Linked DNA regions of Lepisosteus oculatus. The protein of the gene in region 3 purifies or fractionates together with the protein of the main gene of each other region. This does not show direct contact. Links are inferred from orthologs where the notes say so. Each region holds a gene or a part of one and is shown on either strand. Other genes may lie near its edges.

What was found.
Region 1: the proteins of stk11 (region 3) and pip4k2aa purify together in Homo sapiens (affinity purification with mass spectrometry; 3 studies listed by BioGRID and IntAct, counting the BioPlex papers as one, with this or other methods). This does not show direct contact. The link is inferred for Lepisosteus oculatus from reciprocal best matches to the Homo sapiens genes STK11 and PIP4K2A.
Region 2: the proteins of stk11 (region 3) and cops8 purify together in Homo sapiens (affinity purification with mass spectrometry; 3 studies listed by BioGRID and IntAct, with this or other methods). This does not show direct contact. The link is inferred for Lepisosteus oculatus from reciprocal best matches to the Homo sapiens genes STK11 and COPS8.

Annotation. Positions count from the first base shown.
Region 1 is NC_090701.1:17,340,031-17,351,225, forward strand, and holds the start of pip4k2aa (phosphatidylinositol 5-phosphate 4-kinase type-2 alpha), read left to right. Parts: upstream 1-5,907; 5' UTR 5,908-6,545; coding exon 6,546-6,686; intron 6,687-11,195. UniProt on the Homo sapiens protein: Catalyzes the phosphorylation of phosphatidylinositol 5-phosphate (PtdIns5P) on the fourth hydroxyl of the myo-inositol ring, to form phosphatidylinositol 4,5-bisphosphate (PtdIns(4,5)P2). Has both ATP- and GTP-dependent kinase activities.
Region 2 is NC_090707.1:9,845,479-9,856,913, forward strand, and holds the start of cops8 (COP9 signalosome complex subunit 8), read left to right. Parts: upstream 1-7,139; 5' UTR 7,140-7,187; coding exon 7,188-7,259; intron 7,260-8,416; coding exon 8,417-8,487; intron 8,488-9,562; coding exon 9,563-9,611; intron 9,612-11,435. UniProt on the Homo sapiens protein: Component of the COP9 signalosome complex (CSN), a complex involved in various cellular and developmental processes.
Region 3 is NC_090724.1:7,564,965-7,575,615, forward strand, and holds the start of stk11 (serine/threonine-protein kinase STK11), read right to left. Parts: upstream 4,403-10,651; 5' UTR 3,936-4,402; intron 3,390-3,935; 5' UTR 2,625-3,389; coding exon 2,335-2,624; intron 1-2,334. UniProt on the Homo sapiens protein: Tumor suppressor serine/threonine-protein kinase that controls the activity of AMP-activated protein kinase (AMPK) family members, thereby playing a role in various processes such as cell metabolism, cell polarity, apoptosis and DNA damage response.

The DNA.
Region 1 (11,195 bases), on a different chromosome or scaffold from region 3:
AGATAGGCCAAACACCCTTGTTTCTTGTTTGAATAAAGCTTCAAGCTGGCATTTCGGAAATCCTCAAGAATAAAGAAATGACTGTAATGTACGCACCTTGGTAGCCTTCCTATAAGGTTCAGGGCATCTGCTGTTTCAGTATTTTGGGTTAAATTCCCTGACACTAAGTGGATTCCTGTGCACCATATATTACTCTTCAAGTCTCAGTTTTCAAGAGGGAGTAGAACTGGGAACTGAGAACTGGAGGTGGGCAGATGTCCTTACTGTGAGTAAATGCAGCAGTTTTCTAGGGAACTGTTCAAAGCAAGGAGAGCATCTCCAAGTAAGGGGAAGAGAAGAGAAGTGATAAAATCTCTTTTCATCTGTTTTGTAGCTAAGAAGTACAACAAAAGTTAGCGCTTTCAAGACCTGTCCTCTGTAAATGAACCTTATAGCTCATCTATCTAGGACTACAGGTGTGGTTCCTAGGACAAAGAGAGATTGTCAAACATTCAACACTTAGCCACTATTGAGTCCTGTTCAAAAACCTGGAGTCAGGATGGTCTATCTTTGTCTTCGAAAATTGTAATTAAAAACCATCAATGGTTTACAGCACCTGCTGTAAGATTTGCCAATTGATATTTGAAGGAAGATTCAGAAAACAGCCACAGTGATAATGAAATGTACTATTCCACCAGCCCATGGTACTGATATTAAACGCATTTTTTTTGTGATTTATTCTTCATCTGATATACATGGAATGAAACCAGTTATGAGCATTTAAAAGTAAAAAAATGTATTGTAAATCTGTATCTACTGTACATTCTCATTCACAACTAGTTGTAATTAAGCTTTAAGAGATAGTGTTGTGATTCATAGTACCTAGAAACAAGCTTTACAATTAAAAATAAGAGATGAATGTCAGCTGATGCACAAAAGAAATTAAACACTCACACCTAGTCGATTATATCTCTATATTTAACAGCTAAAAAAATACATAGAAAAGTAGAACCAAAATGCAGTCAAGAGAATCATTATAATCTTCAATATGATGCATGGCACACTGGTAAAGAGAAATCATGGTGAATTTAGTCATTTGCAATCCACACAATCCAGGTTTGAGGCATGTATCCAATCACCCTCTGCGTAGACAGTTATGGGATGGACCAGCAGTGGGATAGTGGACCAGTAGCAGTCTCCTGTCGATGGAATTGGCACATAAGTCTCACAGATGCTCTACTGGACTCTGATCATGATAAAAATCTGGACATGGAAAGACCTTATGAGTGTACCATTGTACTACTGGATAATCATCACTTCTGGGCTGGCTCACGATGTTAATTGTAAATAATCTTATACTGTATGTGTCCAATGAAGTACTGGTGGAAAACGTAGACTTTTGTATTTCCATTGTCCACCAGTATATCACACCAAATTTACCCACAGCACTATTTTTCAAAGGTACTGTGAAAATTTCAGTAGACATATGTACAAAACCAGATTCCTGAATGTGTTTACCTGTAGGTTATATCACTCATACTACACTTGTTGTACTGTAACTACTGAAGAGAATGTTCACGCTCGTAGAGTACATACACTTGCTGTACAACGTTCGTTGTAACTACTTAAGAGAGCTTTAGTGCCTGTACATACACAGAGATTTAATAAATTATTGATATGCATTTTAAAACTGTACTAGTACTAGTAGACCTGTGTACCAGAGTATGACAAAACTGTGCATTCTGTGATGCATGTCCTTTTATGATGTACTGTAGTATGCATTGATAAATAGTCTGTTTTATAGTAAATGCCCCCATAATAAGCATATAGTTTCTACTATGTATATTAGCTGTTGTATTGGATTATACCACCTTTTAGGTGTTTTTACTATATTCATTTACCACATTGTCCATTAATTTAATAACTTTTAATTAATTTTGTGCTTTTCATACAAATAAAAACAAACTTCTCAGTCATATAGCCTGATAGTCATTGAACGTCTTTCTTAGTCTGTGCTGCAGGCAGAGTTTATGCTAAGGTTTCGCTTGTTGTCTTACATGGATGTTCTTATTAAAGGACAGTCCTTGGGTGTCAAGACTGTCTTCAGGGTGAGAGATGAACAAGCAGAACAGGCTTTCCTTCAGTATTTACTTTTTAGAGTTGCTTCCCTATAAGACCTGGAGCAGTTATATGTTACTTGTGGCACCTGTGCATGATTTTCATATAACAGTGACAGAATTATGTACTGTACCTCCTATTTTTGCATCTTTGTTACAGTGGAGGCATGGGATATGTAAACATTTGCAAATTGATGACATAGTATAGGAGTGTTTGTATTGCTCAGTTTCAGAAAGAGCATACAGGAAATGGATTCTTACAGACAACATCAGTGCGAGATCTCTTCCACTCTGCATTTCTCTCTCTCAAGGCTGAATGCACCGAGATATACAGTAGCATCGGTTAGGATTTAAAGATATAAACTAATCATCATGTCCCTCTTTTATCAGTACCATGTTCAAACTAGGCAAAAATTTAAGTATATAAAAAATAAAGGGTGAAATCTACACCTTATGAAATGTTTCAGAGTAACTTTTCTCTTCTTGTGTATTGTAGTTTTTTTTAAACTTATTAAAAAGTAGAAGAATTTTTGTTATTGCTCTCCAACAATTTAAAACCAGGTAAAACGTAGTATGTTAAATAAATGGTCATGTTCAATAATGTGATGGCAGGGTAATATAGTGGTTAGTATTGCTGCCTCATAGCGCTGGGGCCCTGGGTTCAATTCTGGACCCGGGGTGCTGTCTGCATGGAGTTTGTATGTTCTTCCCATGCTTACATGGGTTTCCTCCCACAGTCTAAAGACACTGTACTGGTACAGTAGGTTAATTGGCTTCTAGGAAAATTGGCCCTGGTGTGAGTGTATGCTTGTGTCTGTGTGCCCCCTGCGATGGACTGGTGTCCCATCCAGGGTGTATCCCATCTTGTGCCTGTTGCTTGCCGGGATAGGCTCTGGCGCCTCCACGGCGCTGAATTGGATAAAGCAGTTAGAAAGTGGCTCAATAATGACTAAACCAGTGTTCCAAGATATTTCCATACGTTGTGTTAGATTCGGCTTCTTCTTCAGAATGTAATTCCATCAACGATGGCAAGCCCTCTCGGTCCTGAGGCACTGAGATGGCTGGGATGGCTGGGTCCTGAGGCCACGCTTGATGGCTGGGATGAGGTTATCTTATTTGAAGGCAATGTTTGGTTTTGCTGCACAAAACATTTCTCACTGTGGCCACCTTTGACTCTTCCATCCAGACAGTCCATTCCTGTCTAGAGTCGACAGTGCCCTAGTCCACTACCCCTACACAGTGTCACCAGGTCAGCATTTTTAACCTTTAAAGGTTGGTTTGTCTCCGATGGAGAGCTGCAAGCAATCTTTAGCAATGTCTGAGTCAAAGGTCTGAGAGGAAAAGTAGTGTTGTCACCACTTCAAAGGGAAAATGGTAGAATGTTCATTACTGAGGGAGGGCAGCATATAAAATATATAGAATGATGACAAATTGTGATAAGAGATTTGAGTTTAGGTCTGAATCAGGTCTTTGGTTAAATTAATTAATTTGTCTTAAACTAGACCAAAGTGTAAACTATACCTATATTTGTGTGGCTGCTACCCAGCACCCTGCTGCCCTTTGACAGTGATCTTATTCAAATACTTCAGTTGAAAGGTTAGAGACCATCATGTGTCAGTCATGTTTTATTATATGTACTGTATATATGATACACAATTGGGGGATTAAACACACAAGATACTTCAACAGATCATTGACAACCTTTCCCTAGATTTTTTTTTTTGTAAATAAAGATGTATTTTTGGAGTCCTGTACCATCAATAGTTATCAAAGCTAGTATTCACTATACTGAAATAAAGACAATTTTACATTAAATACTGCCTGAAGGAGTCACAAATATAAAAAACTGCGAACATGGAAAAATAAACCCTTCTCTTTATTTCTTTTGAAAGCCTTGTCCTTCTTTGCAACCTCTTACCATGAAATGGGCACTGGTTAGAGAAGCCCCGTAGCAGTGTTGCTCAGTTATAGAGTGTAGCCTAACCACAGCAATTGGTCAGGCAGATCATTTCCTCTTTCTTTAACTGGTTACTTCACCATTTTACTTTTCACCTTATTTCAGAACTCGCAAATTCAACAACTGAGGAATGCTATTCTGTGCTTTCCCTCAATCTATTTGTGTATAAAGCCACACTTCTTGTTTTCTACATTGCGATACTTTAGTTGACTGTTGATTTGTGTTGCCTTCTTCAAATCCACTGTGCCTAACTGGTGTTGTGGTATTTTCAGTGACACTTTAAAAGGAATTACTAAATGGCTACTACTGTAGATTGTATGCAGTTTGATTGAAACATGAATACATGTTTAATGCATTTTAGATTTCATTGTTTTACTAATGACTTTTAAAGAAAGTCAAGAATAACTAAACAGGCTACCATAATGTAATGATATTTAAAGTACCATTTCGTACTTCTTATAAAGTAAGAGGCAGTTTTATTTGCAGGGATTCTGGAAGTTTAAAAAGACTAAATATCTTATCATAATGCCATCCTCTTATGTAAAGGTATTTGGGTCTTTAACCATTGAAAGATATATTTTATTATTTTGTGTTTGTCACATGGACTAACTATTAAACTATTGAAACCACAGATTTCTACAGTGAATCGTAAGTTTGTTTCCATACATTGGGCCCAATGATGATTAATCACGATTGCTGTCTTTTCTCTCTGTGTGAGTTAGGGGGATGTTTATCAACAATGATAAGTTACTGCACACAATTTAAAGAAGATATACAATCCCTCATGTGTAACTATTCTTAATGACAAATATCAATCAAATATTTCAAACAAAACAAAACACTATTAACTGCACTTCCAGTCAAATCACCATTTGTATTTAGAACACATTCCGTTGTTCTTGTGCAAATTTAATTGTTAATATCATTTTAGATTGTTTCATCTCGGTAATCAGACAACAATATAAATGTAATCCAACTTCAGCACTTTCGTTTAGTATTAATTTAATTAAATACAGATGTAAATTATTATTAGGTTAAGTGTCAGTACTAACCATAAACACTACAGTGTTGCTCTCATACAGTACTCTTGGACACAAAACTGTAGCAAAAGTAGAACAACAGAAACCACTGCAAACAGGTACTGTAAATGTGGAACAAATGTTGCTGTTGTTGTTGTTGCAAATACAAATAAAGCAGCTGTTTACATTCCTAACACCGTTTAAAAATACTAGTCTGACCCTTTGTATTTATATTAGACATCGGATTCGTACAGTATAATCAGCCACAGGTTTTGTGATGAAGAATTAGTTCTGTATGCATCTTTCGTGAGTCAGCTGTCTACCGTCTTCTCCCTTAAGCTTTGTAGCTTTGGTTTGTGATTGGTGAAATCAGACAGTTCATCATTGAACACCTACGCTTTTGTATCACTTTGTAATACAAAATATTTTTTTGTTTTAAGTGCCCCCCTGCGTAATTAAATTGTTTAATTTCGAGTCTTAAAGAATGTTCACGTCCCATATATAAATAATACATGATAACTAGAATAAAAAAAAGTTCGGCATTCGTCTTGTGTACACTTATGAAATACCTATAAAGTAATTAAATAATTATCTAAGTCACGTCTGCCCAAGTAGAGGCGTGAATAAATGGAAAATGACAATTAAAGACGAAAAGTATACTTGAGTGCGGTTGGCTTTTTTTAAACTTTATTCCTAGTTTTATAGTTATGGTTGAGAACGAAACGGTAAAGGCAGCAAAATACCGTTACAACGTTTTTATTTTCTTACCTACCGCCGCTGTTTTCTACGCTAGAAAACGTCAACCGCATTAATAATCGGTCTGCATGCTGTAGCGCCGGCCTCCGCCTCCCTGGGCTGTCAGTCACCAGAGCAGCACCCGGCCGGAAGCGCTGGGACAGAGGCTGCTTATTTTAAACCTACAAATTCAAAATTGTAACACGGTTGCAATGCGGATATTTTTATTTTAGGACGTCCATCATTTGCCAGCAGCGGTTTTTGGAGGAAACGAGCAGTGCAAAAGGAAGAGGGAAAGTGTTTGCTTTAGTGCAGGACTGGTACGCAGTGGGGAGAGCACAGAGGACTGAGAGCATTGGTTTATTGAGCTGTGTATGTTGCATGAAATCTCAGTTTTTTTTTGTTTTATTTGAAGACGTATTTTAATTCTGGGTATCAAACGCGCTCGTCAATAAAGTATTCACAGGGGAATGTTGGAGTGAAGCAAGGTGGGGAGGGTTATTTTTAAGGGGAGCTGCTGTTTTAGGTTAGATATGCCGATAACTAAATGGTAAGGAGCTTATTCTGCAGCTGCATTAAAAATAAAAGGAGAATAGGCTCTTGACATCTTAAGAAGAACCAAGACAGGAGGCGCAGCATAAGTGTACATACTTTTTTCTCGGTCTGTTCTGTTGTTAAAGAGACCGACCCTGAATTTGAACGTGAGCTGTCATTATTAGGCAAAATTAAGTGTAAAACATGGCTACAGTCAGTGGCATTGCCTCATCAATTGCGAGTAAAACGAAGACGAAGAAGAAACATTTTGTTGCTCAGAAAGTCAAGCTGTTCCGTGCCAGCGACCCTCTGCTGAGCGTCCTGATGTGGGGAGTTAACCATTCTGTGAGTAAACGATTTCAAATATTACGTCTTGTTTTTTTACTTGCGTGGTTTCTGGCGACCTTCAGGTGCCGCTGATCAAACTTAATGCGCTAAACTGCCTGGGTAGTGAAAAATGCACCCACTATCCGCATTTAATCAAAATAATACGTGATACAGTACTGTAAAAAGAGAGCTTTCTCCTAACACTGTTTTGTAACGTATTTGCATGTTGCCCGCACCCCCTTTGAAAAGCGTGTGATTGCTTAGCGAAGCTGAGCGAATGCATTGACTCCTGACGTAATATTAAATGATCAAAACGTCTTGGACTTTTTTTTTTATTTTTGAGTTGTGCCCAAATCGCAATTGAACTCGGAAGTCAAGCTCGCTCGCTCGCTCGTTCGCTCTCTCTCTCTCTTTTTAACTGTCATGAATTAAACTGTTTTCCAAGGGAGTGTGGCAATCTTTAAATGTCTGGAAGGTGGGGATGTTGTGCTGACTGCCGCCGCCGCTGTTGCTGTGAGAGTTGTCGTGGTTGGCCGGGGAACCTGGTGGTTTGCTCACCGCGGAGACGGTGTCCGGGTGCGCCGCGTCTACTACGTAGCGTGTGCGTGTGTGTAACGAGCCGGAGGGGAGCGTAAGTTGGGTTTGTAAGAAAAGCATCCGGTCCCGTCAGTCCCGAAGCTCGTCCCGGGCGGAAAGTTGTGGAGGTCCCCCGACTTGCAAGTGAAAACCGGACGTTACACACGGTGCATGCGGGTGGCTCTGCAGGGGGCATTTTTGTATAGATTGGGGGTGGGAATCGGAAAGATGTTTTTTTCAAAATTGTCAAACGATGGCAAATCTCGTCTCGCAATCGGCATTTGGATACTGTAGTTTGGTCACAGTGTTGGTGTTGGGAGCACTCATCAACTACATCAGTTGTAAATTGCAAAATCAATAGAATTCCTAACTGACAGCTTGTGCAATACCTGCATAACACCACACACTGGTATCGATAAACATGCTTTCCAAAGCGCTGTGGATCCGGGACATCATCATTGTTGTCGTAATTAATAATATTGTGTTCTGTGTAAGTTAAACAGACGGTAAAAGATACATATTCCTCACATTGCCCTATGGGAATCTAACAGACAAGCACTTGGAAAGCCTTGCCTTCGCCTGTCCGTACAGTTGTATCAGTTAAGAGAAATGTGCTTGCCGAGTGCACTTAACTATTATTTCACGGCTTTTTTACTCCCTTTCTCACACTAAAACGACTTATCGGCTATTTCCTTTTGAGTGATATTTCAACAACTCCAACTTCCCTTAAAAGCCAAGTTGCTGCTAGACCTGATGCATATCTACTGTAAATCCCACTTCTCTCCAGCCCGAGTAACCGAGAATGGTGCACCAATCCGGAACGTTACTCATACACACACCCCCGGTCCTGTTGAGTAAATGTTGAGTAACGTTTCTGAGACCAAAACTAACCTCGATGGCCTAAATGAATGTAATTACTGTAGTTGAAGACTTAATGACTGCGTTGATTATAAAAACTCTTGACTGACCACCCTTCATAAACTAGGAGTGCGTATTACTGCATTAGGGCAACAGGTGGTACAGAAGTCCCTTTAAAGACTCCTACTGTAGGTGTTTGCTTTCCTTGGGAGTCTTAATTCTCTCTTCATGTAAAACCTTCGCTTCTGTCTGCAATGGGGCAACCCCGACCAAAAAGTTCCTTAGTATGGTCTTCACTGCTTTAGCAAATTAAATTCTGTTAACATACCGTACTTCACTTCAACAAAACGTCAGATACCCAGACAAAAGTAAAGATTGGTTTCCAATACCACACAGGGATATGTAGTTCTGATTTGTGGATTGCTTTTAATGTATGACATGGTTTTAGGATAAAAAGATTCAGGGCTTTTAAAAGTGGTCTACATTGTTTCCCCTACACTATACAGCAGGGGGGAGATAATTTCCAATGACATGCTGATTTATGTTAGTTATCTTGATAAAAGATTGCAATTCTGGTAATTTCAGTCAGTAAGTGGAGCTTGTAACTGCTCTGCTCTGATGGAGACCAGTTTCTATAAGAAGTAGTTGCGAGGTTAACATTCATGATGTATTCTGAAGATAAGGATGAATTACAGCCATTAAAGTCAAGGGAAACTCTGAGTTAAAATAATAACACAGAACATTGGGATATTAATTCAGTGGAATCATTACACAATAGTTGTGATAAATGCCAAACAAGTGAAATATGCAAATGGAGATCGAAGTTCTATGACTTGATGTTACTTTTTTCGATCAATGTGGGATGACCTGAATTTTAACCAGTAATCGTAGTATTTGAAAAATATATATTTTTCTTTTACTCTCTTTTGTACTAATGTAGTGCAGAGTGTTCCAGTATTAAACTCATCGTCTTTAGCAGGCTCACCATTAGTATGATGTGGTGATTTGCGAACTGTGCACCTGTGATTAACTTCTGACAGTTTGCATTTGCGATTAGCAAATGTCCCAGCTTTCATCCAGACAAGGGGATTAAACTGCTTTATCTAGCATTTAGACATCAGGTGGGCGAACTGCTGTAAGCTGCTTTAGTCCCGGCTCAAATCAAACGTACATATTGGGGTTTTTTTCTATGTCTACTGCTGATTTGAAGTCTGCATTTTGACTTATTTACACCTACTGTAACTGAGCAAAACTTGTCAACACTTTAGTCATTGGTAACAAATGGCATTAGCTTTAGTTGATGAGATTGCACTGTCTGTTCAGGATTCCTAGGTCCGGCAAAGAGCTTTTGGCAGCCTGTGGTTATTTCCTCCCCAGCAGAGTTCTGTACTACTCAGAAGAAGGAAGAGCGGAACAAAGAGACAATGTTTGGGAAAAGAAGTGGAGATTCTTTTTTGGAATGATCATGTGTGGTCATGTCATATTATCCCACATTTGCTTTAAAAAAAAGTAAAGGCTATTTACCACTTGTTACAGAAATAATAATTTCTTACACTTCTATAGCTTTTCTGGACTCCACTCACAGCACTTTACAGGTAATTGGGACTCCCCTCCATCACCACTACCAATGTGTAGCTCCACCTGGATGATGGCAGCCATATTGCACCAGTGTGCTCACATCAGCTATCAGTGGGGAGGAGAACAGAGTGCTGAAGCAAATTCACAGATGGGGATTATTAGGAGGCCATGATTGGTAAAGGCCAGGTTGAAATTTGGCCAGGACACTAGGGATTTTTAATGACCACAGAGAGATTTACATCTCATCTTGTAAATAGGATGGTGCCTTTTTTGCAGTGTTGTGTCCCTATTACTATACTGGGGCATTAGGACCCACACAGGCTACAGGATGAGTGCCCCCTACTGGTCCCCCCTAAAACCTTTTCCAGCAGAAATCAGACCCATGAGGTCTCCCAGATACTGGCTAGACTCACACCTGCTTAGCTTCAGTGGGTTGGCAGTTGAGAGATGCAGGATGATGTAGCTTCTGACTGTATCCTATACAGTAAAATACACTAATACCAAACCATTATAACAGTATATTCCTCTTCTGAAAAGAAATAATTCAGAATCATCTTCCATATCTGGCAAAAGCAGGACTGGTGTGGAGGAAGATAAGTGAAGGGCTTGATACTGTATGTGGACACTTTTTAAAAATGACTTCCTTTATACACGCAGGTCAATGGAAATATGTTTTTACAAAAAGGGAAAGTGCTCTGCTTGTAAAGGAGGCAGATGATGGAAGAAACATTATGAATGCGTTTTATGCAGGCTTCAACACAAAAGCGAAAGGCCTTTTCTCCAACTAAAAATTGTGAAAGAAACGATAAGCACTAAATGCACAGGACATTGTTTGCTGCCTTAATGCTTAAAGAGCTCCTTATTGGATTTCTGTTTAGAGCTTTGCGATTTTGATGGCACTTAAACTCCTCTTGTACCTTATTGACCCAGGCTATTGCTCTCTAAACAGTGGTGACAGAACCCAAACATTTGCACACACTCTCAACACCACCCTCCATGTTCAGATGCACCACACCCTCCTGTTTCTTTTGAGCAGGGCGACACTGCTCGAAGATTGTGAACACCACAGCTGCCAGTAAGTGTCAATCCGTTCTGGCCCTCACTCTGCCTCTCCACCCCAGAAATGAATTTGTCCACATTTCTGAGCCTTATTGTGTCATAGCCTTCAGGTACAAATGCATTAAACTTGCTTGAAGAGATGCAAAGGCATACCTTCACTCGACTGTAGTTGTACACTTCTGGTAGTTCTCTGAATTTGTAGATTACTTTTTACCCCCTTACAGATATGCTTGTATCTGCAGTCAGATCTTTCGGAAGCCCAGAGATCCGCCTACTTCCTGTTGCGTCATCGATTAGGTGTTACTTTTTACAGTAGACTTCAGTAAGTGATTACATGTCTCAAGCAGAAATTTTACAAATCCTCCACTGCTTCTTCAGCACATGCATACCAGTTATGTGAACCTCTGGTTATAGGCATGGCTCCTTGCCATCATTTCTGGAAAGGACCATTTGTAG
Region 2 (11,435 bases), on a different chromosome or scaffold from region 3:
TTATACATTTAGAAAGCATATAGATACATCATGTACTTTTTTAGGTTTTAGTAGTCTGGAGATGTTCATATTAATAACCCCTTAAGAGTGGTTGGAGATTCACAATAAAATAAACTCACAGTGCTTGTGTTCATGAACAGAAAAATGATGTGTGAACTCTTAGGTGATGAAAGAACTCTCATGTGCTAAAAATGTCTGTAACCGCTTCTCTGTCTGAAAACTGATTTCTGAACTGCTCTTGAATCATATTTTTTTCAGGTGAAAACCCCAGGGAAACAAAATCTGCCAACAATGTTATCTGAAACAAGGGAATTTTGGTTAGGGTTCAAGTGGGTTTGATCCAATAAATGGCCTTCTGTGAATACATGTCTTTTTAACATAAACGAGAATTTATTCTCAACTGACTTACCTGGTTAAAAGAATATCAATCTGTTACATGTATACACAGGTACAAAATTTTTCCCACAATGTTTTTCTCTTTCTAAAATAACACTGAAGTAAACAGTAGATGCAGGCAGATCCGGACCTATATGATGCCTTTTGCAGCAGGTCTTTTTGCAGCATGAGAACAATTCTAACAAGCACGTGCTTTCACAACATGATGCATTATTGGACCATAATCATAATTATCATTCAGAAATTTTCCAGCTCACTTTCAGAGCTATGTCTTCTGGGAGGTAAAATTAAACAGAATGCCTGAGACAGGGCATTGTGCCAGGCAACTTTCAAACCCCCATCAAAATGGCACACAGCTGACAGCCACAGTCTCAGGGCACTCTACTTTTGGAAGCACAAACAATGATAATGACTTCATGCTCTCTTTATAGGGTCAAAAGGCTTCAAAGCTTTGGGTGAGAGAGCTATGAGAGAAAACAATACTTTTATCCCATCAAGTCAATCATATTCTCATGCATTCCATGAGTCTGGCTAAGAAGGCAAGTGAAGACTTGATAATAGAGTTTATATCCAGCATTTGGCTTTAGCTTTGCTCCTTTCCTGGACTCTTCGTATGAAAACTTTATAAAACAGAAACAGCCAGGACCGACAGCATACAGGCAGAGCTGTTAGAACCCCTGCCTCAAAGCTCTTTGTCCCAGGGTCTGATTCTGGACTGGTGCACCTTGCATTTTCTCTTACTTCTAAAACATAGACTAGCTACAGTAGGTTAGATTGATCAATATTAATCAATTTGATTGATTCATATTAATCAATTGGTCCTACAATGGACGTGTGCCACATCTATACTGAAGACAGTCTTGCTCTATAAATTCTGCCTGTTGCACGCTGCTCAGGCAGACAGAGGACAAAGCTGCAGTAATACAACATAGCATTAGCATAGAACATGCAGATTCTAAAGGTTCTTGAACTACTTGGAATTAATAAATCTCCAGGGCCTGATGGAAAGTATTCACAAGCTATTAACAAAATTCCAACAGTCCCAAAAGGCAAGGGGTAGTACCTCTATAACATGCAAGGTTATAGAAACAATTTTGAGAACTAGAGCATCATGTACTGTATATAGATAACAAATAGGTTTTAGAAAAAATAGGTCTTGGTTAATTAACTTGTTAGAGGTCTTTCAAAAGGCAACAACAGAGCACGGGATATTTAGACTGATGTTAATCATAAAAGATTTATTCACAAATTTCAGGTAGTAGGAAGTATGGATTAATGCACAGACAAAATAGAGTACAAATAGGGGGTGAATTCTATGATTGGGGTGCAGCACTACAGGGATCCTTAATAGAACCACTAGAACTGTAACATACGAGAGGAGGCTATCAAGCTGAGCATTGAGATAGGTAGTAGTTAATTGATTCAAAGATGTCATCCAGCCATTTCTTGAAACTGTTTCTTTCTGGAACTTTCTTGTCAAATTTCTTACAGATAAGGTTTTCATTACCTAATTACATTTTCTTATCAGGTGTAAATTGCATTAAGAAAAGATTCAGCCAATGAGCTTTAAGATAAGATCACTTTATTGGCCATATACAATTTCTTGCATTAGGAATTTGTTTTTTCGCATACCCAAGCTAGCTCTCCATGAGAGACACAGGCACACAGACGGGGAGAGAGAAGCCTGGGGTCAGAGCACAGGGTCAGCCATTTATACGGCACCCCTGGAGCAGTTGGGGTTAAGGGCCTTGCTCATGGGCCCAACAGAGTAGGATTCCTCTCTGGCCACAGGATACAAACCGGCAACCTTCCAGCCACAGGTGCAGATCCTTAGCCACAGAGCTAACATCCTGATGATTGACCATTTTTTTTACTATTGACATTTTTACTTCTTATGCGTGATGTTCTGTTGACATTATGACAAGTTTTACAAGGGCATCACAGCACAAATCTTTATTTTGCTACACATGAGGGAGAATATCTGCAAGGTACTGGCAGGAAAATGTACGATTATTGAGATTCACTGGATGACTTAATCACAGTTACTGGGCTCTGGTTCAAACGTATTGCATTACAGCAGTGAAGACACGTATCTGTCAGGTGGGGCTGCACATTGGTGGTATTGAAGGGGGTCCCCATTACCTGTAATGCCCTTTGAGTGGAGTGTCCAGAAAATCACTATATAAGTGTAAGCAATTATAATTATTATTAAGACCTTGGCCTGTTCTGAACTTCACTGGGCAGTAATGTGCTCAGTGAGGTGTTCCTTAACAAGTGGTAGTTTTATTTTTTGTCCGGAGTGGGAAGAAAAAAAGTTACATTAAACTGTAAGTTAGTTTTAGCCAAGAACTCTTTAATACTCAAAAAAGAATTAAGAAATACACAAATTTGCAGCTATTGACCTTCTGACATTTGCAGTGTCATATATTTTGGTATTTATACATTATGTTTGACTGATTGTAATGGTGAGAATATTTCCTTTAAATTCCTGCATTAATTAAACTGTAGTATTATACTGTTACTAATAATAATTATCATTATTGTTGTTTTTATTTTATGCACAACCTTTTATGACATCTCAAACTCTTTATACGAATGAAATTCATAGGAGCTCTTGCATACAACAGGAATAGAGATACAGTACAGTATGTATGCTCCAGTATTTAATTAAGATCCAAGTCTTTGAGTTCTGAACATATTGCAACTGAGGTGTCAGGAGAGCCAATCAGAACAGCTTTGGTCTTGTGAAAGTTCAGATAGAAAAATCTGTGAATGTCCAGCATGAAGGGGCATATACAGTAAATAAAAACTGTGGTGCTTTCATTAATGTGTGAGGGGAAAGACAGAAGACAGGAAGTTATCATTGGTGCATCCCACAGCATTTCCTTTTTTGTTCCAATGGCTGTACAACAAGAGTAACCAGGACCTTGTAGAAAAGCAAAAAAAAGATTTTGCTAATGTACTGGAACAATCTTCCACTACGTAAAAAAAGACCACACATCCGGTGCTTGATAGCATGAACTGAATGACCAGTAACAGGAGGGGATTTACTGGCTGCACTAGGAAGCTGACCTTCAATGAAGTGGTCTGACCGGCCTGAGATAAGAGTCCTCTGACTAGAGGGGCCTGTGGGACCCAGCAGATAATTTGTTACCCACGTGAAGACTGTCCTATCGCTGTATTTCAAGGTACTGCACAGATTGAAGTGTACCATTCAATCTCCAGAAAACCAAAAGTCAGATGCCAGTAATTTCATTCTTGTTAGGCAATTCGAAGTGGGAGGCAGGGAGTGAAAGGCAATGGTCTACACAAGGAAGTTACTGTACCTAAGTGATTGCATGTTTCAGGTTTATTCCGGATCTAAAGAGACATAATAGTTTATGGAGTGAAAGTACTTTGTTTTGGATTGTTGTGTCCCTTGCTGTGCTTTATTTTTATCCTTGTTCGTGTATTGTATAAGCACAGGCTATTTCTGTGTCTCATCAAAGTATGGTATATCAACATTCAAATGATGAATCCTGTCCCTTCTTTCCTGAGAACAATGCGCAATAAAAACAGACTATCTCATTTAAAAGCAAAGCGTGGGAGGTTATTTTACACTGCAATCTCCAAAGGAAAAATAGAACACAATACATGATATCTAAGCTTTGTTTTTACGGATTTCCTGTGTAATTTGAATGAAAGAAAACTTTCCCTTCTAAACAGGAACCATGTCTACACGAGATAGTAAAAGTCACATTTATTTAGCTCACTTATTTAGAATTCTTGAGCTCTTTTAGAATCTGCTCCATAAGCATTTATGTGCAGTGTTTAAATTTCTTAACTAAAGCAATTGCCTGCATACTGTACTTACAGTAATTCAGTTAGGCATTGCAAAAACAAGTTCAATTTGCAAGTTTTAAAATGTTTTTGGAATATCAAAATCCATCTCACTGAAATTAATAGATCTTTGCAGATCTCAGTATCATGTACCTGCACTCTGAAATGCGTTAATACAGAAGATAGCATCTTAGGCTGATCTAAGTATTATCTCAGAAACATTTAACTGTTTATTGGTCCAATTGGCCCATATAATTTAATTCCTTCTAATTTAATAAATTATTCTAATCATTTGCAATTTAAACATGACTACACATGAAAAACAAAAGACATGTTAGCAAGACATGTATCAACAATTCTGGTCATTACTATGTTGCAACTCGCGTAATAAATGTAATATGTGAATAAAATTAAATACAATATCACTTACTTTAACATATGATCATTTTGTATTTTAATACCTGCTTCCTTCTCATCTATTGATTTCCAGTATTTACTGGAAAATACCCCAGGTGAAAATCCTAGATACTATTTCAGCTAAATTCCTGATGTGTCGTAAAATGGTGATTTTAGTTTATGGGCTCTATTATGGTGCTTTGTAAGGTCATTGGCCATTTATGATAAAAATAAACCACATAGAATCAATATAAATAAGCTTTAAAGAAACCATAGAAGTGCCCTAAAGGGCAGTCACTTTGCCTCAATTTTCATGTTCTCAACCTGTTAAAAATATATTGAGTAATGTTATGAATTTTTTAGGTCAAGTGTGAACTGTTGCACTATGGACTCTGTTGATGGATGTTTCTTGGATTAATTCAAGAACACTGCTAAGCAATCTTAGGTATTTATTTTTTGTAAATACCAATCTTCCACATGCAGTTCTTATTAGTTTATGACAGCTCCAGACTGGGAGTTTTTATGAGCACTCAGGATGGGAAAAGCAGTATATCGGTTGTGTTATCACACTTTCTAAATAGAGTCATTTAGGCTTTTACTCCTAATTGTAAAGACAAATAGCGGCAAGGTGAAAAATCACCACAGTAATGCTCCCAAAGGGTAATACGAATTTTAATCTTGATATGGTTTTGGATGGCGTCCATTTAATAAACTACGTGTAGATCATTTAGTTGAGATTTTTTTACCGTTTTATTTTTGTTTACGATGCATTTAAATTCACGAGACCAACATATAAACATGACCCTTTTACATTCGTAATTTTTTTTGGATAATTATTGTTATTTGTATCTGATAAAACACAAAATGCCTGCAATGACGACAAACGGCTCCGAGACTCCCTGTACCGTACCAGAGATTTTCCTCAGCGGTAAGATCGGAACAGTCCCTACCTCCGTGTCCCGGCTACCACGTTAAATAAGGAAAAAAGTTGCAACGCAGTGGTTCAGTGGAGCAAAACTCGGCTCACCCTGCATGGCTCTAATAACGACCGCAGAACAAGGAGTACTGATCCACCTCCTGGAACAGGAGAGCCAAGACTATGGTTTTCAATAACATTTTCACTCCTCAGTCAATAAGCAGGACGTTATAGAGCTGGAAAACGGACTGGTCATTTATGAATTTACTCTGGGTAATATACTGGGGTGTAAATAACAAAATACAATGATGTTTATTTGCATGTTTTATTTGAGGTTTTATTTGATCTCTCCGCTTCCCTGAACAACGTGGATTGGCACTTATACATTTCTTTACACCTCTTTCGTCTGTCAAACGAAACTTTAAAATCCCACGACATTACAATATCATGACGTTGCCGTGTTGGAACTACAATATATGAAATATATATCTTCAATATAATAACGTTAGTCACATATAACACTTTCCCTCTTGATTGAAATATTTAAGATGTAAATATAAGTAGGAAAGGGTTTAGTGACCAGGTCTAGTGCAAATGATCACATTACTCCTATCCTGGAGTCCTTGCACTGGCTTCCGGTCAAATTCCGTGTAGACTTTGAAATCCTCATGCTCACCTATAAGGGTCTGCATGGCTTGGCACCTCAGTATCTGTCCGAACTATTATCGCCCTACTCCCCACCTCGCAACCTTCGCTCTTCTAATTCTGCCCTCCTTACTGTCCCCCAAGCCTGTCTACATTGTATGGGTGACAGGGCCTTCTCCTGTTATGCCCCCAAGCTCTGGAACTCTCTCCCCAAGGATATCAGAGAGTCACCTTCTCTAAACTCCTTCAAATCCAGATTCAAAACCCTCTTCTTAAAGTAAAAAACCTTTACTTAACTGGTTCCATTCTTCACCCCTCTGCTTTTCTTAGTACCACCATCCACGGTCTCCTCTATATATTTTAATTGTGTTTTATCTTGTGTATTCTTTTTATTTATTGTTGTTGTCATTCCATAAAGCGTTTTGAGAAGCCACATTTAAAGGCGCTTTATAAAATAAAGTTTATTATTATTATTATTATTATTATTATTATTATTATTATTATTATTATTATTATTATATTTTCTTACCAGATTTTACGGTGGACTATCATGCGAAGTATCAATGATCTCCTGTAAAACATTTAACAAATCAGTGCGTTTAACTTTCTTTTTTAAGGCCACAGTCCGCTTTTTTAAAGCGAAATATTTGTATGGAGTGACATCTAGTGTTTCTTATTTCATTACATTCCTGTGAAACATCGGGTTTGCTTGACCAGAGAAAACGGATACATTCTAAAATGTTGTTGCAATATAGGTTTTAATATTAGGATGTACAGAAGTATAATAAATACCTTAATTTGATTCATTATTTAATTCTGTACGAAAGTTCTCCTTCGGAAGATCTACAGTAGTTTACTGCACACGATAGTCTATTAAATACCACGCACGTAGTTTTCCCCTCCACTAGAGGTCGCTAGGAAAGTTTCTGCGCCGTAATAATATTATACGCCGCACTCTGTATCCCCGGAAAGGGAAGTGTTTTCATCTGTTACTGTTTGGGTTGGTTTTCCAAAAATGCCAGTGGCGGTGATCATGGGAGAGAATTACAACAAACTTCTGGAGCAGTGTGAAACCCAGGAGTTGGAGGTATATAGCCGATTCCCTAAAAACAAGGTTGTGTGTTCATTGCCAGCCAGGACCTGGTGTAGAGACGCCACAACCGTTCAGTAACATCCCGGACAGTGAACACAACGTGTTGCTGAAGCAGCCGGCTTGCAGTCCTCAATTACTCGGTTACCTAGGATGCTGTTGTTAGACCTCGGGTGGTTGTTTAAAGGCAGTGATCACACTAGGGAAATATTTTCCCGATGTTTCATATGTAAACAGTATTTTTGGAATCAATGGTTCGCTGGTGCTGTGTCGCCTGTTCTATTCAAGTATACACGCATGTGTTTTATTGTCGTTTCCATCTGTGTCGGGGGGGCATAGCAGATCAGATCTCTATTTATGACTAGAAGGCTGCTCCCTTGAGCCAGGTGCCTCATACGAGTTGTGCACAGCTGTAAAAGTCTGCACCAGATTTGCTGGGGAGAAACCACGAGAATAGGAGAGCTTTCAGTCTGGGGTTGGGGGGTCACATAGCCACAGCCCGCTTAATCCTGCAGAAACTGGGGTAACCACGAAACTAGAGAACCGCTACAGTTGTAACAGCAACGTTTGTACGCAATGTCTGATGGTATTCATTTTATAAGTATTGATAACTGACGAATTTACTGACAGAAATTGTTACCAGTACGAGAGTTGTTGAATAGTTTTCAGTTAGCTTGCAGGAGATTTTCTACGTGCTCTATTAATACCTTTGAGTTCTGATAGGCATTACTTTCCTTGGTACTGTAATGTGTTTGCGGTATTCTCAAAGTGAAGGACAATGCAAGTATCTCTTACAATAAAAGATCGTCTAGTTTTGTTCGTTAGCTTAATCACTGGGATTTTCAAATTCAGTAACTGAAAGCAAAAGTGATCATATCTCTTGAATATACATTACTGCTTTTTTGGATATGATGCTGAAATTCATTGTGGGGATGAATTTCTTTTCTCAATTCCAATTGCATCCAGTGAAACTCGTTTTTTTAAATGGTGGCATATTTGAATTTTTGCATGATTATGGTAAAAATTCCACATTTGCAAAGCATTCTGAAATATTTAAATAAATATTTTTGTTAAAAGTTACATTTATTATTGCCATGTATTTTCTGTATTTTGTATATAATTACAATTTAAAAAGTGCTTTGTTTTCTTTCAAGGCACCTGGTGGCATTGCGACTCCTCAAGTGTACGGGCAGCTGCTGGCCCTATATCTCCTGCACAATGACATGTGAGTTATAGCAGAGTACATGTTGTCATTCAGAATCTGCCACTCAGGATTTACTGTCATCAGAGCAGGTTGTAGGCTCAGTAAATTACATTGATGGGCTACTTTACTGTGCATTGTGTAGGCACATGGGCTACTTGTTCACAACTGTTATGGATCCTTAACTTTTCATAGTCAAAAATAAGTTTCGAAGTTACGAATCCCTTCATAATCTAATATAGGGCTCTCCCCTCTGAGTCCATCCAGACATCTTAATTGTGATGGCACAAATAGATAAATCTGTATTGTGTTGATTTGCCATGACAGATGATAAGAACAGCTAGGATTTTCTTCCATATGGAGTAGATTTTAATATTGGTAATCATAGTTACAGGTGTAATAGATTTCTTCTTCCCCCTTATCAAAAGAAAAATCATAGGAACTTAGAAACATACAAGTTTATATGTAGATAGAACTGTTTTTATTGTTTGCATGAAGGTAATTGAGTTTCATATACAAAAAAACATTTAACTTTAAGCATAACTAATATCTGCAAAGACAGACACTGGTTTATAGTCTGTGTCTTAAAGTTGTAATAGCAGAGCACAGTCAATTAATCAAAGGTAATTACCTAGTCTCATCTAATGCAGCTTTAATGTTTTTGTGATAAAACACCATGCAGCACAGAAAACTGAACCATTGAAAGCACTAACAGCAAATGGCTTTAGCATAGTTTTACATGTTTTTTTTACATATGGCACTGGTTAAGTCTGTCATGGTGAAGCTGGTGATTTACCTAAAGCAACAGAAGCATTGCACTTGTAAGCTTAGCTTTCTCGAGACCTACACGTTCATCCCTTAGGATAGGTATATAAATAAAAATTAAAAATGGGACAGAGCATCAAAGCTGTTGGTCCCAACTATTTAATTCTTGTGGGAGTCACAAAGCTTTTGTGCACCCACGTCTTTCCTGTGTGAAAAAGCCCTCAAGAGACATCAAAGCCAGTCTGTCTGGACTCACCACATGGAAAGGATATGGAAAGTACTGGTTTGCATTGTTCTGGAATTTGAGGAATGTCTGTCTGTGTTCTGTTTTTAGGAATAATGCCCGGTATCTTTGGAAGAGAATCCCACAAGCAATCAAATCTGTAAGTACTTACTAAACTTTATTTGTGATGTATTAAAGTGATTAAAAACTCAGATATATTTAACATCAGCAGAAGACACATCTAACAGATAAGATGGTTTGGGTGTTTTTTAAAAGAAATCAATGGTTCTTGTTTTTGAAACCAGTTCTAAGTCTAGTTCAAGGCAAGTTTGCTTAGAAGTAGACAATAAGCATTAACATTTTGACAGCAGTGAAGTGTAGATTGCAAAAGAAATGTGCCCACAGAGCCTCAGATTCTGTAATATCTAAGCCCTTATGTTTAATACTCCCTGGTTTGGAAAACGTTATGTACTGTTATACTTAAGGTAATTTTTTAAAATTATTTTACTTTGAATGAAACAGAATAGAAAATGAGGAAATTAAAAATCTAGCTGCTGTGTTTTTAACACCCCTTCCAAAAAAAGAAAATTGATAGTTCTTGCAGAAGATATCTCCAAACTCTCGATCATTTTTAAGAACTATAATTTTAGTGCTAAGTATAGTCTTTGAATTGTTTTTTCCTTTGAAGTATAAAGATAAAAATAAGAGATAACAGAATGCTGCACTCTTGAACTGGGATGATTGAATCATGAGGGATTTCATTATCTCTGCCACGTGTCTCTGGCCTGCAGTGGCATCGACAGCTGACATTTAGAGCTGTTGGGAAACAGCTTAAGTAACCTGTTCCTGGGCTTCAGGGACATATAGAACTTTCTGTCTTTTTATAAGCTACACTCTGTTAATGTTTCTCTTTATCTGTCAGAAGTAAGCAGGGCACAGCATAAGATTCTGTATTTACCTCTCCTTTTCGTTAGTTTTACAACACCAAATTTGTTGTTGTTATTGAAGTGCCTTAGTGATTCTGTTGAGAAATGTCCCAAACAGTATATGTATATACTGTATATGAAGGCAAATTAGTGAACATTTAAACAGTTCTTATTTGGAGAATAGTTCAGCCCTGCTTTAGCACAAATTGTTGTTCGATCCAGTTGGAAGTAGAGTTCAGTTTAGTTGATTCCGCACAGAAGAAAAAGTTTTAATTATTATACACTGCTTTTAAGTGTATAATCTTAGTGGTGCTCTTTGCATTGTTGTATAAGCTTAAGTGGGCTTTATACTCTGTTTTTACCATGATGTAGAACTGTGTATTTATACAATAGACTATAGTATATTGTTGGAGTTTTGTGTTTTTTTTTATTTCCTTTAGTCATATTAACCAAGGACAACTATTAATGACATTATTTCATGCAGCACAGAGTCCTGCCTTTAAAATGTATTTCAAAGAAATACAGAGCAAATTGTAAACAGTTCTGTATTTTTTAAGGCAGTTGAACATTCACAAGTCAAAATAAAAAATATATTGCATAAATAGTTTGAGCTTGTTGCAACTCCTGTGAGAAAAATCAATTTGCTTTATGCATCATATGCTTTTCTTGTTAAAATTGTCATTATCTTTTAAATATGTTAGGAAGAAACATTAAGTTTACAGTCCTTAGCCTGAGATTCTGGGACATGACATGTAATGTAGACAAGTGCAGTGTGCCCCATGTAGTTAGCAAAAATACAAGCTATAAATATAAACTAATAAGCACAGGCATTGGAAATACTTTTTTTGAGAAATTCAAAGGTGTTTGGTTTATGTCATATCATTTACATTTTCTATACAATGTGAAGAAACACAAAAAAAAGTCAGGATATACAATACAAAATGTAGTATTTAAATAAAGGGACGTTATGCTAAAGTTGTCCGACGTACATTTTATGGAAAATATATTTCTGCTCTAGAATAAGTCAAGAGTGACATGATACATTCACAAACTCAAAG
Region 3 (10,651 bases):
CCCAGGAGTTCCCCCCCCCCAATTAAAAACACATAATACTAAAAACAACAGCAAAGTCCACACAGGTGGCTCCTGCAATCTCACTCTGACTTTAAGACTGCAGGCGTGCAGGTGCAGACGTCCTGTGCCAGCATTTGTCTGCTACTCTGCAGGTGCAACTTTCACCCCGTTTATTCCTGAGCCACACGGCAGGGCAGCAGGAGTGCCTGAATCCGCGGGAAGACTTTTCCCCGCCTGGGAAGCAGGGGATGCTCCCGACACAGAAACATGCGAATGCAGGCGTGATAAGCAGGCACACGCATTTCACTTCCCATCCGCCCTTTTAAACTTCATTTTCCGAAATGTCACTAAAAAAAAAAAAAGAGAGAGAGAGAACGCTCTGTAGGAGTGCCTGCGTCGTGAGGGTTTCGTTTTGCATGGATGAGGGCAATAAGGGAGGGGGCCACATTTTCATCCTTTGTTGTACACCAATGGGAGCCCCCACCCTACCCCACCGGTTATTTATTACCACTGTGGTGAAAAGAAAATAGGAAAAGGCACCTCTGTCTCGGCACAGCATTTCCAGAGCTAATACTGCACAAGGGCTCTGGGACCCTTCCTGTGCAAAGAAAGCCAAAGTCCCCAGAAAAGGAAAAGCAGACTAACATCGCAGACCTAGTAGAACTGCATAGCACCACACCACCGTCGCTGAACTGCATTTGGATGATCGGAACGGTTTCCTTCCCCTGAACAACAATCTCCGCGCATCATTTCTTTAAAAAAAAAAACACCACTATAAGTGTGCCAGCAACAAACTGGTAATCACTCCCCTCACACCACTGTCCACCTTCGGACCCGCTGCCCAGACCTGCTGCCCTGGGGCTCATCCTACACTCCCCCATGCTCTTCCAGTCTTTCCATCCCATTCCAAAAGGAAAGCACCCTGCCCCTCCCTCCCCTCCAGAACCCCCACAGCCCCTAAAAAATACCAAACTGCCACACATCGCCTCTTATCCTCACTTTCAGCGTCCTACCAAGCTGTGCTAAAAATATATAATGTGTTTATTTTTAGGTGCCTATCCTGCTTAATAAAGGTTTGCTGCTCTTGCATTTCTGGAGGTTTTGGTAGCAATATAAAAGCAGCATCTCTCCCACATGTAGGTAAGGCGAGGGGTGGTCTTTCGCGCAAAGACTCGCTGCCGGACTCGGCAGAGAACCCACCCTGACCAGACCGCGCCCTCGTACACCTCCTGGAGAAGGGGTGGCTGCCAAACAGGGCCAGCTCAGCCCGTCCGTGTGTCTGTGCGTGTTGCCGTTTTAAATGGCCATAAACAGAGAAAGGCTGCTCACAAGCAAAACACATGAAAGTCGGGGGAGAAAAAAAATGCAGTTCAGTTTGCACCCGTTTAAGTTGGGTTTCTAAGCAAATGCACTGCGTCACGTCTTTTCACAATCGCTCTTGAGGCCCCAGACAAGTACTCCTGTCAAACAGACCTCCCTTGACTTTCACCCCCTCGAACGGACTGATGCTATCTGGACAGAAACTACAGCATTACTCTCCCATTACAGTCAACCCTCGGTTTAACAGACAAGCTCAACTCCAGGGGAATTCTGTCTGCATAATCAGAAATACCACACATAAAACAAGGTAGAAATAAATACTACATAGGTCTGAAATTCCAGAATACAGGATAAGGATAGGTCAACTGTTTACAATAGGTATTTGTGTTCCGTATGCTTAAGCAAAATTTATACGCTATATTTACAACATGAAATAAAGAGCTTGTGCGTTCACGATTGAAAAAGGCATGGAAACAATTTTTACTGTGTTGACTGCCCTTGTTAAATAAGTCAAAACTTCCAGAGCACATACATAAGAAAAATACATTATGTATATGCAGAAATAGCATGTTTTTAGGCTGAAAAAAAAAGGGATATTCGGCAGTAATGGACTTCCCTGTTCTCCTATATATACACTCCTCCCTATTAGTCCTTTAGGCCGAGGGATGACTGTAATTATAGCCTTACAAGTCCATGACCAGAGTGACACTTTCAAGACCACCCAGGCTTTTGGCAGCTTCAGATAGCCTACTCTCACATACTCACAGGGACACAACTGGCCACAGGTCACCGGCACTCAACGGGTCTGCCCTCGCCCGGACATCCACGTTGGCTACCCATACCCCACCCACACCACCCATGGGTGGTCCATGGTCCATGGCCCATGGGTGGTCCAGCAAAATGAAGACAGCCCCGTGGTCTTTTCTTAGAAGCAGACAGAGGGTGCCTGCAGCAGTCGGGGGGCTCAGACCCAGCCCAAAAGATGAGGATCTGGGGCCAGGAGCCGGGACTTACTTTTTGACATTGGCCTCCCCGTTGGGGATCCTCCTCAGCTTCTTCTTCTTCAGGATCTTCACCGCCCGCCGGCACAGCGTCTCCGAGTCCAGCATCTCCTTCACCTTGCCGTAGGAGCCCTCGCCCAGCAGGTCCCCCATCAGGTACTTGCCGATGAGCTTGGCCCGCTTGCGCCGGGGCTGGTAGATGACCTCCGTGGAGTCGATGCGGTGGATGAAGGTGTCCATGCCCATGAGCTCGGGCTCCGCCAGGTAGTCGAGGGACAGGCGCTGCAGTTCGTCCATGCTCATCTTTGCAGCTCAGGGGTTGCGGAGTTGGGGAGGAGGAGGTGGGCCCGGGGAGGGGGGAGGGGGGAGGAGGTGCTGGAGGAAGGGAAGAGGTACTTACTCCTGAAATCCCTCCGTTTTCTCCAAGCGAGAAGTGTGGAACAAGAAAGCTACAGCACCCAGTGGATAAGACCTCCAAGAGCTCGGGAATTCCAAGGAGAACCAGACTGGGGGTGGAGGGGCAGACTCTGCCAGAGTTCAGCTATGAAGCAGCATAGCCCGGACTGGAGTTCCTGATACACACACGGATGCAGAAGTGAGGGGGGGGGCTTTTACATACACTTTAGAGGAAAAAGTCTGGTGGTGCCCCTTCACATTACACCCCGCTGCTTCACAAAACCAGGGAGAGAAATGTAGTCGGTTTATGCTTTCTTTTTCCCCGTGATGGTGGAGGTGGAGGAGTGTGGAAATTCTAACTCGATGACAGTCCCTGGTGTTTGGCTCCTGCTGGCATCGGGGTGCAAATCCACCGTCAGCCAAGGAGCCCCCAGTCCGTGGACACCGACGTCATCCAACGGGCAGAAAATGTGTCCTCCCCCCCCCCTCCCCGTCTTCTTCACACCTGTAACAAGCGAGATCTTCTTTGGTACTGCTTTTTTAAGGGAAATTTTCCCGAAGACTTGACTCCCTATCCCCCCGCTGGTTTCATATCCTTAGGATTCCCAGCACACTACTATCAAAGAGTTAAAATTAGTCCTTAGCCAGTTGCAGCAAACGAAGATCCAATATCTGGAATGCAAGAAAAATATTTCAGATCAATGATACACGTAAGGCAGTTTGCGAAGCTAATTTAAGACTATGTTAAGAATAACATTGCACATGCATTGATATAGCAAAATAGAAACAACGACAATGCATTGTACGTGTCATCTGCAGCCAAGAGGCACATTACAGATTGTAAACGGACGCTAGCACAAACGACACCGCGAGAGCTCCAAGGCGTAAGATATTAAGTGTTCTCGACCTATTCTGGCTTTATTTGAACAAAACAAAAAACCAACAACAACAAATAAATTAGCCAACCCAGTGCAGCAATGCTACAGTTTTACGCGCTGGCTGAAGCAAAAAAAAACCAAACACAAACAGAAATCCGTCGCCCGTTACCCGAGATCAGTAGATGTGAACCTACGCTGACGGCCAAGCTGCACTCTTTTACTTCACCGCTTCAAAAAATACTAATCGCTCGTTTCGTAGAGGCAGCACGGCCTCGGATCCCTCTGCTTGAACACTACACTTGACTTGTTTATATTAATAATGAAAACCCTCGTCTCTTACCTGCTCGGCGTAATAAAAACGCACCAGCCCCCCGGCACTCCGTGCCCGGTTTATCCTCTGCTTAACTCTTTCATCTCCAGACGCCTGTCCTGCCTTTATTTTTTTTAAATGTGTATGTTTCTGGAAAAGAACCGGCAGACTGGAGACCCTCCTTCTAGTCACCAAAGCTGAAGTCCAGCAGATACGATGTCAAGTACAATCCAGAGAGACCGAATTAGTAGTACGACTGCTACTCCTAATATATCACTTTATGGACGTCCCGTCGCTGGCATCTCTTCCTCGGCCTCCAAAAATCCGGCATGCAGCGCTTCGCTGATGTATGTTAATTTACGTATTTACTTTTCCTGGCGTGTATCCGTGTCGGTGTAAATAGGATAGGTTTTGAACCCCTTAAATTTGCAGCCGCCGTCAGGCTGTCGCCATCTTGTTTACCTCCCCCCTCGCTCAAGACCGAAACGCCAGCCCCTTACGTCAGCGCGTCAATATGGCAACCACTTGCGTGCGCACTTATTGGCTACACGTCGTGTCAATCACTTCCCAACACGGTCCCCTGGAGAGGCGGAACCATCGAGCGTCAGAAGCTGATTGGTCGATTCCCTCCATCGATCAATGCAACTTTCCATTGCCTGTGTGTGAGAGGGAAGCTAGGCTGCCGTACTGTATTCTGTTTGGCCGGGCAGCTCGTCAGGTTCATAATGTCATGTATAACAAGTTCTGCCTTTTCGAAATCTTTGTATTACTGTATGTATTGGGATTCTCATAGAGTGGACCGATCCCAGGTTTACGCTTATTGGCTGATCGTTACTATCAATCCTAAATCAGGGGAAAATCCCAGAATTTGCACGGAGTTAAAAGGAGTTTCCATAGCGTGCCGCCGTCACTGGCTTTTACTTGAAAAACTCGGGCAGTTATTTCTCCCAGCAAAGCACAGGCGCTGCGGACTGGATGTGATATAACACTTTCACAAGCAGCCTACGTTTGTCACAGAGCACACAACGGGTGGCGACAGTCACAGCGGCGACCGGTTTCAAGCTTTCTGGATGAGACGCGGCAATGCTATGTCAGATGCGCTCTTGTTAGAAATGACAATGAATTCACTACGCCAGCAGGGTCTAAGTGGACAATGACACCCCGTCAATATGGCTAATTGTCGGTGTTTTTAATCTCTTTATGTGCGTGCACAGAAATCGTCAACTTATAAGATTCCTAAAAGATGCCAAACGGCAGGTTTTGTTTACGGAGCTAAAACTGTAAACGTTATAACTCTAATGTTAGCAAATAAGATACACGTAGAAAATGTCTTCATTATACACACCCACATAAACTACCTGAATGACGATCCCATCTCTATATATATATAATGCGTCTCATTGTTTTTAATATTTAATCAATGGTATTTATAGGAACGCGTAGAGGTTAATTCCCCGCTGAAAATGAAAAAGAAAACCGTTCCGGCTGCGGATGTTTGTTCAGGGTGTTTGTTACTTTTACAGCTAGGCTTCATCCAAAACCGTGTTCCCGTTCTCTTGACTGTAAATGATGATGATCGCGCAGGACCTATGTTTTAGATGCACCCGAGTCACTTGCGCGTAAGCACGTCACCACAGCTTTGTGTACCGGTTAGGCAAGCGAACAGTTGCTCTCTACTACCGTGCGTTGCCTGCGCTGTAAAATAACTTTCTATTTCCGTGCCAGTCAAATGCGGTATACGAGACTGCTCTCCGCCTAGCTCTCTCACAAAATGCCCGCTTGGTTTATTTTCGATTCTTACTGTTCTTTACTCTGTGCTTAAAATAGCCCCCCATACTCTCCCTCTCTCCCGTTTGTACACAATTGTACAGGGCCAATAAAGTGATCTTAAACTACCCACGTGACTGGATCCAGTCCAAAAGACTGGTTCATCCTATCCAAAGCAGCGAGAACAATCTAGAACTCGGGCTGCACCATGATTGCCTGTCTGGGTTCTAGTCCTAATGGCTGTAGGTTCAAATGCTGGTGGGATGTCTCTCTGCATTTGGCATTTCTTTCCAGTTTGCACCTATAAATGAGCCACATTCCTTGAAGGTGTTACAGCATATTCAAATATGAGTGTGTTCTCATTTGACTAGAATGAACCCATCAGCTGCTTGCGAGCATTTTTTAACATAATTCTCCATCGGGAAGGGTGGTATATACCGTACAAAACAGAAGAAACTGCTGATCAGGTAAGAGAATCCATAAGAATCTAGAAACTACAATTAGAACTGCATTTCAATGGAAATCATTCCTGACATTCACATCTGATTGCCTGTCCAATAAGTACTTATAACCAGTGCCGGATTTCCCATTAGGCACTGCAGGCACAGTGTCTAGGGCCTATTAAGGAGTGAAACACTAGTGACTCACGAAAAACGAGCTGAAACAACACGCTTGCGATCGACTCTCGGTTCTCCATATCTACAATCACACGCTCTCTAGAGGCTGTTCGAGAAACTAGAAGTGTGGAAGTGATGGTCTCTCGACTCGCCCCAGCAATCCCCAGGTTTAGCATGAGAACAGTTTCAAGTGCATCTTGTCCATCGACGTCATTCAACTGGCGTTGACCCCTCTCCTGGCACAACTCAGAGTGAAAGTGCCGAGGGCCCACGAGCACCACAGTCCGGTCCTGCTCATAACCCAGAGGGCTTGCTGTGCAGTAACTGGACTGAGCAGTCCAGAGCAATTCTGATCAACACTGCAGCTCTGAGCTCTGTTTTGGCCCCCACCTCCAGCCACACATTCGATTGTTTTTCAGGCTGGCTGCAAGCACAAAAAATGATCTGATTTTCTGACCTTCTTCGACCCCGGCGCTGGAAAGCATTCCACTAGGGACTGCTGCGTCTGCTGGCCAGATCTGGGCACACACAGTCGTGTTATTGCTGATTGTCTCTGGCAGCCGCAGCCATTTAAACAAAGTAGATTCGTGTCACTGATGCTGTCCCTTACATGCAGGAATAGTTTTTTCTTTTTTTAGCTGATTCCTAACAATTATAAAGGTCCCTCTTCCCCCTACAACAGGTTAATAATAATAATAATAATAATAATAATAATAATAATAATAATAATCCTGTCTTCCTGCCGTTCAGTTGCATTCAGTGGTTGAACAGCACTAGCTGACCAATACGGAAAAACAAACCGTTTGCGAGAAAACAAAAATCGCTCGATTTTAGTTATCATAATAATTCCTCACACTTATACAGCGCTTCTCTGGACATTCACAGGCAATGAGGACTTCCCTCTTCCACCACCAGATGATGCACCGGTATATCAGCTTTCAGTGGGGAGGAGAGCAGAGTGATGAAGCCAGTTCAGAGATGGGGATTATTAGGAGGCCATGATTGGTAAAGGCCAGGGGGAAATTTGGCCAGATCTCCGGGGTAACACCCCTAGTCTTCTCCAGAAACATTTTTAATGACCACAGAGAGTCAAGACCTCGGTTTTACATCTCATCCAAAGGACGGCACCTTTTTTCAGTATAGTGTCCCTGTCACTATACTGGGGCATTAGGACCCACACAGACCACAGGGTGAGCGCCCCCTACTGGCCCCACTAACACCTCTTCCAGCAGCAGCCTCAGCTTTCCCAGGAGTCTCCCCTCCAGGTACTGACCAGGCCCACACCTGATGGGCTTCAGTGGGCTGCCAGCGGTGAGGTGCAGGGTGATACAGCTGCTGGCAGATACAGCTCTTCTTTTTATCACCCTAAACAACCAGTGCACCCTCAGACCAGGCAAGACAGTCCCCATACATAATATCCCATTTTATTACCTAGCTGTCACAGTATGTGTTATGGTCGTCCCAAACAGAACACAGCATAGAAACGACTTCTCCGAGGGACAGACATTCCAGACCAGCACACGGACCCCAGAGACCCCCAGTTACCAAACCCCACGTTCAGCCCAAAGTCCAGCGGCCTCATTCTCCAAAACCAGCTCTGGTCGGTGAACTAGTATGTGCAGAAAATGGCAAAAGTCAGCCTGCTTGTGACTCTGAAATGCCCCATCAGGCTTCTAAAGAACGCCTGAAGGGGACCTCACATACACTGTGTGCTCGTTACACTAAGCCGAAAACATTACAGAGGGGGCGACAGGGCCACTGCTTACTAACTCCAATAACTCAAACTAACTTACTAGTTAATTTACCAACTTTCAATAAATTGCTATGTCATTCTATCCCAGCATGCTCCTCGGTTTTTAGTCACTAATGGCAACCGCGCGGTGGAGTCTCTGGGTGAGGGGCAAACACACAGAAGCCCAGACCGACCGAGTAAGGAGGCAATGGAGAAGGATATTGCCAGTGAAGACTAAATGAAAAGGGGGAGGAGGAGGATGAGGAGAAGGGACAGTCACGGCTTTTGTCTCTGGGCTGCTGTTACACAACAGCATGGAAATAACAAGACGAGACGGCTCCGCGGATCGAGGGAGAGCCGGGGCGGGGAGCAGTGAGTTTGAGTCACCGAAATAGAAAAGGGGAGCTCGGAGACTGCTGCTCCCTGCAGGCTCTTTATAACAAGGCAACAAATCAGCCAGGCCACTTTTAGAGTCTTTTTTCCCCCCAGTCCCATCTCTGTTCACATCGTCTCCCTGCGGGGTGCACGGCTCTGTGAGAGCTTTTGTACCCATAGTTCCCATGTTACATAGAAACACAGCAGCTGTTATTGCAGACAGCGGGGAGAGGTCACATTTACGAGTCCAGAGGGCAGTCTTTTTCCCTTTTATCTAAACCCCAGTGAGCCGCCCCGTCATCTGCGTTCTTTAGATGAGCCTTCTTTACTACAAGACAGAGAGACGGATCTCGCAATACAAACACAACATAAACTGGAATGCTACAGAATCCTAAATAGACCATACACACTATATTTGACCAGCATAAGTAACAGCGAGAAGCAACAGACCCTGACGAAGCACAGGCTCAGTGACCACAGCCTGGCCATAGAAACTGGGCAACACAGGCAGACCTGGCTACCCAGAGAGGACAGGCTCAGTGACCACAGCCTGGACACACACACTGGACACAGGCAGACCTGGCTGCCCAGAGAGGACAGGCTCAGTGACCACAGCCTGGACACACACACTGGACACAGGCAGACCTGGCTGCCCAGAGAGGACAGGCTCAGTGACCACAGCCTGGACACACACACTGGACACAGGCAGACCTGGCTGCCCAGAGAGGACAGGCTCAGTGACCACAGCCCGGCCATAGAAACTGGGAGATACAAGCAGACCTGGCTGTCCAGAGAGGACAGGGTGTGCTCCCACTGCCAGCAGGGAGAAATAGAGACAGAGGTGCACTTCCTACTGCACTGGGACAGATACTCTGGGATTAGAGAAACATTTTTACCTAAATTCAGAAATCTAATCCCAGAGTTCCCACACCGGCTAGAATCACAACAGTTCCCAATCCTACTGGGAGAGGGAGGAGGGAACTCAGTTGAACTGGCAGCCCAGTATGTGACCTCCTGTCACAGCCTGAGAATTGCTTTGTTATTTTGTGTACGTTCGATCTGTAAATCCTTTCATTGTGAAATACGAAGTCTAAAGGCTTTTTTCCTCACGGGGGACAACTCCAATCCACGCTATAGACGTCACGTGACTCAAACTGGGGTCAATATAGGTAGGCCGCTTTTTTTCCTTCAGCCTCGTGCTTCGGGAAGGTCCAAAACGAAAAGGCCCCGCAGGTGCCCCTTTGCACTGAACAGAAAAACCAACCCATCAAATTCTCCAGGAGACCTACAGAGTCCCTACCAAGGAAAGAGGAAGCTTTCTTTCTGCTCTCCTCTATAATTATGGGGTAATTACAGGAAGCGCTCATTAATTACACTCGCTCGACGGTGGAGATTAAAGACCGGATCTGACAGAACCATCCCCGTGTTTTGCCACCAATGACAGGACACTGGAAGAGACCAGAGGGGGAAGTGAACAGCAATTAAAGTCCAGTTTCTGGTCTCCTTGAGTGTGCGCTGTGGAAGCGTCGTCAGAGACCGCAACAACTTTCATTTTATCAGAACAAAAACTCCTAACTCATCAGGACAAGCCTCGTGAAGCAAATCTGAACTACAGCATTTTCTAACCCTATAATAACCCTACTATTAATAATAACCCTATCATTACCAGGCCACAATTTTAAGCCGGGTTTTAAAACAATATTGTCATTTGGAAAAGAAAACTTGGCCATACCCCCTGAGGTAAACAGCTTCGTGAACTCTGTGAAGGGACTTTTTTTTATCCCGCGGTCCAATCGCGATGTGTTTTTTTTCCACCGTTGTTCCTAGAAGAGGGCGCGTTTGGCGTAAACCAAAACTTTTTTCTCTTTAACCTCTCTCTCTCATACAAATAAAAGAAAACACACAAACTTCCACAACATGACAATTTTCTCTTTTTTTGCGAACTAAACAGTTCTATACACATATAATACCGGTGTGGCTCTGTTACTGATTTTTTTTTATTTATTTTCATTTTTCATTTTCAGCCGCGGCCCACGTTTGCTCGCTCCGCCAGCGACTCCCTGCCCTTCACGCGATTTCTTCACCAGCTCCGGGAAGGTCAGCGCGTCAGAAAGACAACAAACAGTGCCATGTCATCCAAAAAGACACTGAACTGCTTTGTCAGCGCGGGTGCGGGGGGGGTGGGTTAGGGACGGGGCTCTCTTCAACCTATGGAGCTTTTTAAAGGCCGCTGACATTTAAGTCACGTTAACCCT